Macaca fascicularis: one gene and its partner. The protein of the gene in region 1 interacts with the protein of each later gene in a biochemical or structural test. Links are inferred from orthologs where the notes say so. Each region holds a gene or a part of one and is shown on either strand. Other genes may lie near its edges.

Region 1 (4,016 bases):
ACAGGGAGGAGGTCATTGCCTACAGAAATAGCTGTTGCAGTACTCTTCTGAGCCTGAATTTTAAAAATAACAAACATGGCTTTGCTTCATGATCTATGAAGTACCATATGAATTCAGGAGGTCTGAAAACAAAAGGTAGCAAGTTCAAGCTAAAAGATTAAACTACAAGCATGTAGTAGGTTGAATATGAGAATAAAATAAAAGTGTAGCCCACCCTTGATTATTTACGGATTGGCTAGAGTTTATGATTATCAGTGCCCTTCGATTATCCTTTTCCTTCCAGCTACCAACTATTGAATATTTTTTTGCTCATTAACACCTGTCTAGGAGTGGGAAGGTGAAATGCTAATCAGACAATTTGGTTAATTGTTAGTGGCTGCTATAATCCTTTTTTTTTTTAAGTTGAGATAAGGAAATATTTTACTAAAATATTGGCTGTGGACCACTAAATTTTATGTCACCTTCGCTTCCTTTTATTGCAAGGATAAATGCAGATATTTAGTTTTTAGTTAGGTATTAAAGAGAATTAAAAACATAGTAATTCATGAATCCATTGGTTTTCAAGTATCACACTATAAATTCACATTACGTAATTCTTATTGGTCAGTGTTCAGAAAATATTACTCTTCTACAGTATGACTACTTTAAAAGAAAGCTTTAGGATTTAATCGTTGCAATTTTAAGTGTAGCCCTATAAAAATAACTGCACTTGCTAAGTGGATTTGTATCAACAGGAACACAACTTTTAGAAAATTACTTAAGACTGCCCTCCCGTTTGCCTGTGGTAGACATTTGGGACCCTCCCCAAGCCAAATAAGGGAAAGAAGAATGTTCTGACCATTAAAAGCACTAAGAATAAATCTGAGCTCTCATGGATAAGATTACTTTCAACTCTTTACTTCATGTTTTCTGACATAGACCCCAAGATCTGTAATTGTCTTAGAGAAACTGTGCGGGCTTAGATGGTACTTTGTAGTTCATTTGGCTGCTTCTTCTTCTTTTTTTTTTTTTTTTTTGCCTGTCTCTCTTTGGGGCTGGAGAGCTGGTGTGTCTTTGTGTGTGTTCCTCTAGAGTGCCAAAAAAAAAAAAAAAAAAAAAAAAAAAAAAAAAAACATGCTGAAGAGTCCTAGGGAGATGAGGCTATTTTTGTTTGAAGCTGATACTTCTAACTGAGCCACAAGTGCTGCTTGGAAAGGGCTTAGGTTGATTCCAGGGGGAGAACTCTGCAGAGGAGAGGCAAAGTTCAACAGGACAACAAAGAAGCAGCAGAAACAGCCAGGAAAAAGAAGAGCCCCCAGGTTTTGACACAGAATCCTCTACCAGAGTTCTCAAATCCCCAAATAGTCTGCAAAGTGCTACTTGACGGGAACTTTTCAACTGACATTTACTTTTGACGACCACCATGACTGAGATCACTGCTGAAGGTATTGCTACCATTTTCCAATAGTATCAAGTAAGGAAAAAAAATATGCAAATTGACAGCCACATGGACTGTTGATGTGTCCATTTAAAACGTTGCTTTAAGGTAATTGTCGTGGTCAATGATTCTATACAGGATCTGAGAAGTGGATTTAGGAGCTGAGAGGCTGCCAGATCTGTATATTGGGGGAGCAAAAAGAGATTTCTCTTAAATTTTGCATGTGGAAACTATTCTCTGCTATACCAAAGGCCCCACTAGATAACAGTTGTTACTCACACCTCTATAAATAGCTATGGTCATGTAACATGATGGATGATATCTTATCCAGCAAAAATTACAAAGTTTTCAAGGATGGAGACCATGATGAACTTAAAATATTACACTAATGCTTACTTAAACTTAAAAAGTAATTTGAAGCATTTTTACTTTATGATATTTTTAAATGGAGACCTTAAGTTTGTTTTTCCTTTCCTACTAGGGTATGTAAAACACACACACATATATATGATTTATATACAATTTAAGACATAAGTGGTCTCACAAAATTTGTGTTTATTTGACCGTTAATGGAAATTCAGAGATAAAGATTGGAATTCCACAAACTTACTGTGCATCAATATGATTTTTAAAATAAAGTAATTAAGTTTAGAATTCTGGTTCTTTTCATAAATTCATTCTTCATTTTCCTCTAAATGGTAAATTCTATCTTTATGTTACAATAAATATTTTCTGCTTCAATGCTTTACTGAAAGCTACATACTATAATTATAATACATATCTTCTATTTGATGGTTGCTAGTTATATATATTTATATTCCATATATGCTTCATATATATATATATGTGTACATATTTCTTAGAATGAAGAAGCCCTTCAAAACTAAATTACTCTGAATACAGTCACAGTCTGGTTCTAGTTGAGGTAAAATTTTGGAGGTGGATCTAAAATTTGCTTCTGACAGCTGTAAGAAACTCAGACAGGTGGTGCTCTTAACAACTTCCAAGTTAAATGCTGTGCTGGTTTGCTTTGAATAATACAACTGAACTATAGAATATGTGTTTTTATTTTGAGGGTAGAAATTAGTATCGACACACAGTAATTTCTCTTGGAGATTTTCAGTCAATATTTGTAAGAATTGCCTTATTTGTACCTTACACTGAGAAATTCAGTCTGACACCCCAAATTAATAACAATTACTGAGAGAATTCTGCGTGTTAGGTATTTTGCTCAGAATGTTATGGGTGTTTACTTATTTAAAACTGACACAATTCAATTAAGGAGGCATTATTATCTCAGTTTGGCAGAAAAAGGAACTGTAGCTAACATGTTCTGTGACTCGCTCAAGACTATAGCATTACTAACATTTAAAGCCAGCCCCTTTAAATCTCATTTGTGTGTGTGTGTGTGTTTTCTTTTCTGTGAGAGGATATCAGGTTTACTCTTTACCAGTTTTAGTTCAGAATTTGCTAACTAAATATAAATAGCATTTTTCCTATTCCTTAAATATTCTGTGTCACGTTGCTTTTAGTTTGCCTTAAAGAAAGCTATCTATAAAAACTTATTGCTTAGCTCTGCACAAGGTATTAAGATAGCTATGAGTGTCTTAATCTTCTGTTTCTCTACCTCTGCTCAGTGTTTGGGCTCCCAGGTGATTCAGGAGGTCGGTTGACTAAACCATCTTGGGCTTGTTTGTGGCTTATGTTCTGTAGAACTTGCAGTTGATTCAAAAGACTTTTTACAGGAAAATTCGTGATTATGAAATAGAACTTTTGTTTCTGCCTCCACTCTGCAGGGGTTTAAAAGGGCCTTAGAAGACCTTCTGGAGTCACCCATAAAAGTAATTGAATTAGTAATAAAATTAAAAAGTAGAAATACCATCTAATTCCTGGGTGATGGTCATTTGCCACTTCCGGGTCTTAACAGTTCATAGGATCTATATTATCTAAACATCAATTATGTACTTTTTTTCATTTTCTGGAGTGATTTATTAATAATATTTCTCAAATGAAAATTAGACTGTCAACTCAAATGAAGTTATCTTTTAAGGTAGCACAGTCATTCTTTGAGGATATCCAAAGTTTTTTGCACACTGTTTTACTACACAGTTTCATGTTACCTTGGCAATTCTCACTTTCTGTGCCCTAGCTACAATTGCCTTCCTCCAGTCCTTTATAAAAGGTATACCTTTGTACAATGCCTTGGTACAGGCTATTTTCTGAGCCTGGAATAGTCTTATTTTATCTCATCTGCTATATTTCTTTCTCAACCACTTATTTATTTATTTATTTATTTATTTTAGAGCAGAGTTTCTCTGTCACCCATATTAGAATGCAGTGGCATGATCATAGCTCACTGCAGTCTCAAACTCCTGGGCTCCAGCAACCTTTCTACCTCAGCATCAGAAGTAGTTAGGACTACAGGTGTGCACCACCATGCCTGGCTAACTTTTTTTTTGCTTTATTTTTGTAAAGACAGGATCTTGTTATGTTGACCAGGCTGTACTTGAACTACTGGCCTCAAGCCAAGATTCTCTTGTCTCTGCCTCCCAAAACATTGGGAATACAGGCATGAACCACCACGCCTGGGGCTTGCAAT
Region 2 (3,942 bases), on another chromosome or scaffold:
ATTAAGAGGACAAAATAGTTATTTTGACGATGACAAAAGTTTAAAGACGTGTTCACTCTTTCCACTCATGGACTTCTTGGAGCCATTTTTTCCCTTGATGCTGCACCTGACAAGTATCTCAACAAAGGCCTGCCCCTTCCTCACCTTCACTAATGGAGCCCAGGCCTCCGCCTCGGTTTGGACTTTTGCATAAGCAGTGCCTCCAGGCCATGTACTTCTCGGCCATGCTGGTGGTACAGCTGGCATCATCAGACCCGGGCCCAGAGGCTGAGCAACTCTGTTTAAGGAAGACTCTTGAAACCGTCTTAAACAGTCTACCCAGAAGCCCTTTGGGCATTTTCGCACTGATTTCAGGAGAGGCGCAGTATAGGTATCACGTACTGCCTTCATCTGCAGTAGCTGTGTAACCTTGGACAACTTAGCCTCTCTGCTTCAGTTTCCCCATCTATAAAATGGAATTGGTAACTGTACCTACTTAATAGAATAAGGATTAAGCAAGCTAACACATACCAAGTGCTTAGGACAGTCCCTGTACTTAGTAAGCATTTAATTAACATTATTATTATTTAATCATTTCTTAGGCCTGCATGATAGTTATTATTTTTCTATATTTATAGATAAGAAAATGAGGCTCTGAGAAATTACGTAATTTGCCCTGCGTCCTATGCCTAGTAGAGACAAAGCCAGAACTTAAATCCGGATATCCTGACTTCAAGTTCTGTGTTCTTTTTCTCCTAATGATGCCTCACTCCAGCTTTAGCAGCCTAGGGGCATCAAATTAACTCCTGTCGTGAACTTTTCCTTATCGGTCTCTGCTGGGCTGGCACCCAACTGTGGAAAGGGCACTCTTGGATCAAAGGTGTCTGGAGGGATGGTAAGCCCAGGGGAAGTTCCTGTTCATGATTTTGCATAGTCTTTGGGGACATATATACTTGGGGGAGCTAGAGATAGATAGATAGATAGATAGATAGATAGATAGATAGATAGATAGATAGATAGATAGATGATAGAAAGAGATTTCTTTTTAAAAAATTAGAATCAGAAATGAATGTCCTTGACTGTACTGGCCAACCAAAGGCAATCTTTTGGAGTTCTAGGCTAACTGGACAGCAATGAGCATATAGGGGAGAATCCTTATGCCTTCTATTAAGTTTTCATAACAATGTCTCTTGATAACTGAGTATGGCAGTTTGAAATGGAGATACAATGTAAGTGTTGGTTTCATGGGCTAAGCAGCAGCTAAGTTCTATGTCCTGTTCTTTTCCAGCCTGTGATTTGCTCATTTCTATAGAATAAAGTCTTAATAACTATCCCTGCTTTCTCTTTTCTTGCAACCCACAGAGAGAACTGAACTTCCACATTCAGCACTCAAGGTTGGAAATATATTTTTGATGTATTTGGGATAGTTTTGCTGGATTTTATGACAGTCAATGTTTCAATTGGAAAAAATTCAAATCCACATGGGTTTTATACGATAATTCTGTTAATCAAACTGTTTCATCAACCTGAGTTCTCTGATTGCACTGGTTAATAAACTGTAATTCTCAAATATCCTTTTCACAGGTTTGCGCCTGGGCTAGGCATGGGGACTGATGAGGCATCTTGGTGCCCACTAGCATTCTTGGCACCCTCAGGCACTCTTAAAGTATAAGCCATCTTAAGCTGTCCAGGAGGAGCTGCAGGAATAGTTTCTGGGGCACTCGCAAAGGATTAGAAAATGGGCCCCAGTGCCAGGTTACAAACAGGCAGGCCATGTAATGCGGATAAAATAAGAACTGACTTCAGCTCTGCCCTAAAGTCACACCAACAACTTTCTGAGGAAAAAAAAAAAAATCACATAAATGAATATGCCGCTCAGAAAATCTGCACACAACTACATTCTGTAATGCTGACTGACAGCAAATCACAAGAGAGGAGAGTCATTTAGTGATATTTTCCATCTGACCCCCAGAGAGAGGCAAGGTCAAGTAACTCTGGTCTCTCCAGGATCACAGGGAGATTTGAGGGAGCAGAGTGGGCACACTGAGTGACATCCACAAGTAGTCCCTGGATTTCATTTCAGCCAACCGTTTTAACAACAGTTTCTGCATTCTATCTGGGAAACAGTGACTGGGACAAGGGCCCTTGAAAAGTCAAGGGGGCCATAGAGACTTTACATCAGACCCATCATAGTGTAGCACGTTTGGTCCTCTTCATTTGAAGAGTTAGGACCCACCCCTCATTGTTCACACACCCCAGCTGTGCAACAAGGGCATCTGATTCACATGAGGCCAAAATAAAGCAGACCTCAGTATATATTCTCTGCATCCTCGTTCCCATATCCCAACCCCTGGCCAAAGGCATTCCCTCAGCACCTCACTGAGGCAGCGCGGACAGCACGCCCTTTGATTACTTACCTCAAGCACGATTTCTTTCAGTTGGAACTGTTTTTGCGCGACCTTATCTGAAGACACCGGCTCGTGGTAGTAGAGGCAGAGCAAGTCATATTTCTTTAAAACCTGCTTGAAGTTCTTCTCGGAAAGACTTACCACTCGGTCCTTCCCATCATATGTGGGGAAATTAAGCCCCTCTTCTGCCCTGCAAGAGGACAGAAAATAAACCCCCACAATAAACAAGTGAGTTCTCTTCATTTGGAAAAATTTTTGTTTCTTGTTCCCAAATATGCCGTGTGCAGAAGAAAGGACAGAAGACTATTAGAGGCCTTGTTGAGCCAAGCAGGGAGCAGACAGGCTGACTTTGTCTCTCTTCTTTGCCCTTCCTGGGGCGGAGAAGTGACTCTTCACCTCCTTGGGTCCAGCCAGCTCTGGAATCGTGGGCTCAGGACAAAGAGCAGAGGCGCACACACTCACTCACACACACACACACACACACACACGCACGCGCGAGAGTAGAAAAACAGCCAAGCTAGGGAGGCTGGGAGGCCAAGCCCCAGATACCTTACATAGCTCTGCTCAGCCTCTGTCTCATTAGGAACTCCATTTTTAGGATGCAGTTGTTTCAGGCTAAAAATAAATCATGCAATGAATAAAAAAGTTAGATACGACACTGTAGAGGGATTCGCTGATACAGTCTGTCCGAATGGCGAAGAGGGAAGAGGCAGGAGGAAAAAGACAAGAATGTGCACGCATGAAATAAGGAGGCTAGAAAGGTCAAAGAAGAGAAAGAAACTCGAGAGGGAGAGAGATAAGGGACTATGGTGCCAATAAGCAAATGGGGAGTTCAAACATACAGAATGACACTCATGCATTACTGAATTGTTCAATCACTCCAGGGAGGTAACTCAGCCTGTGGTTGCTCACCCTCTGTTCCTCACTGCAACATGAAACAAAACAGAGGCCCAAGGTAGACTTCCTCATGTTCTACTCCTGTTTTTTTCTGCCTTCCATCCTCTCTTCTTAAAAATCCTCTGCCAGCCACTGGGCGAGGGGTGCAGGGACACCCTGCTGAACCCAGCTGACACCAGAAGAATCTGTCCTCATTAGAATAAAATGAAACAAGGTTCACAGCTCAAATCCCTACTCAGCCTTTTAACAGCTAATGAACTTTGGAGGGTCACTTGCCCCCTCTGATGATCAGTTCCCCTCTATGTAAAGTGGGGATGATAATAACCATAAAGTTTAAAACACATAGATGAACAAGCATGGCACAAAATAGGTGCTCAAAAATGGTAGCTATTGTACTTCCTTCTCACTGGAGCTGGTGGAACATTGGTTATATAATGGATATTTGTCTGTTTCTAATATGAATGGTTTGTGAACCCTTTCTTGTCCATTTTCTCCTTGAATCCAGTAGGCAACTGGGGCAGAAGTGATCAGGGCTCATCCCACCACTGAGCTAACAGCAACTTGTCTGAGTTTGCAGCGTTTCTAACTGCCAGAGCAAGAATTCCACCCTGCCTCAAAGCTGCTGCTCCTGGTTGTCTTGCCTCTGACTCTGGGTGAT

What was found.
Region 2: the proteins of TRDN (region 1) and CASQ2 form a complex in vitro, tested with the Homo sapiens proteins (3 studies listed by BioGRID). The link is inferred for Macaca fascicularis from reciprocal best matches to the Homo sapiens genes TRDN and CASQ2.

Annotation. Positions count from the first base shown.
Region 1 is NC_088378.1:27,577,437-27,581,452, reverse strand, and holds the start of TRDN (triadin), read left to right. Parts: upstream 1-1,205; 5' UTR 1,206-1,402; coding exon 1,403-1,424; intron 1,425-4,016. UniProt on the Homo sapiens protein: Contributes to the regulation of lumenal Ca2+ release via the sarcoplasmic reticulum calcium release channels RYR1 and RYR2, a key step in triggering skeletal and heart muscle contraction.
Region 2 is NC_088375.1:118,620,772-118,624,713, reverse strand, and holds the start of CASQ2 (calsequestrin-2), read right to left. Parts: upstream 2,806-3,942; 5' UTR 2,631-2,805; coding exon 2,397-2,630; intron 1-2,396. UniProt on the Homo sapiens protein: Calsequestrin is a high-capacity, moderate affinity, calcium-binding protein and thus acts as an internal calcium store in muscle. Calcium ions are bound by clusters of acidic residues at the protein surface, especially at the interface between subunits.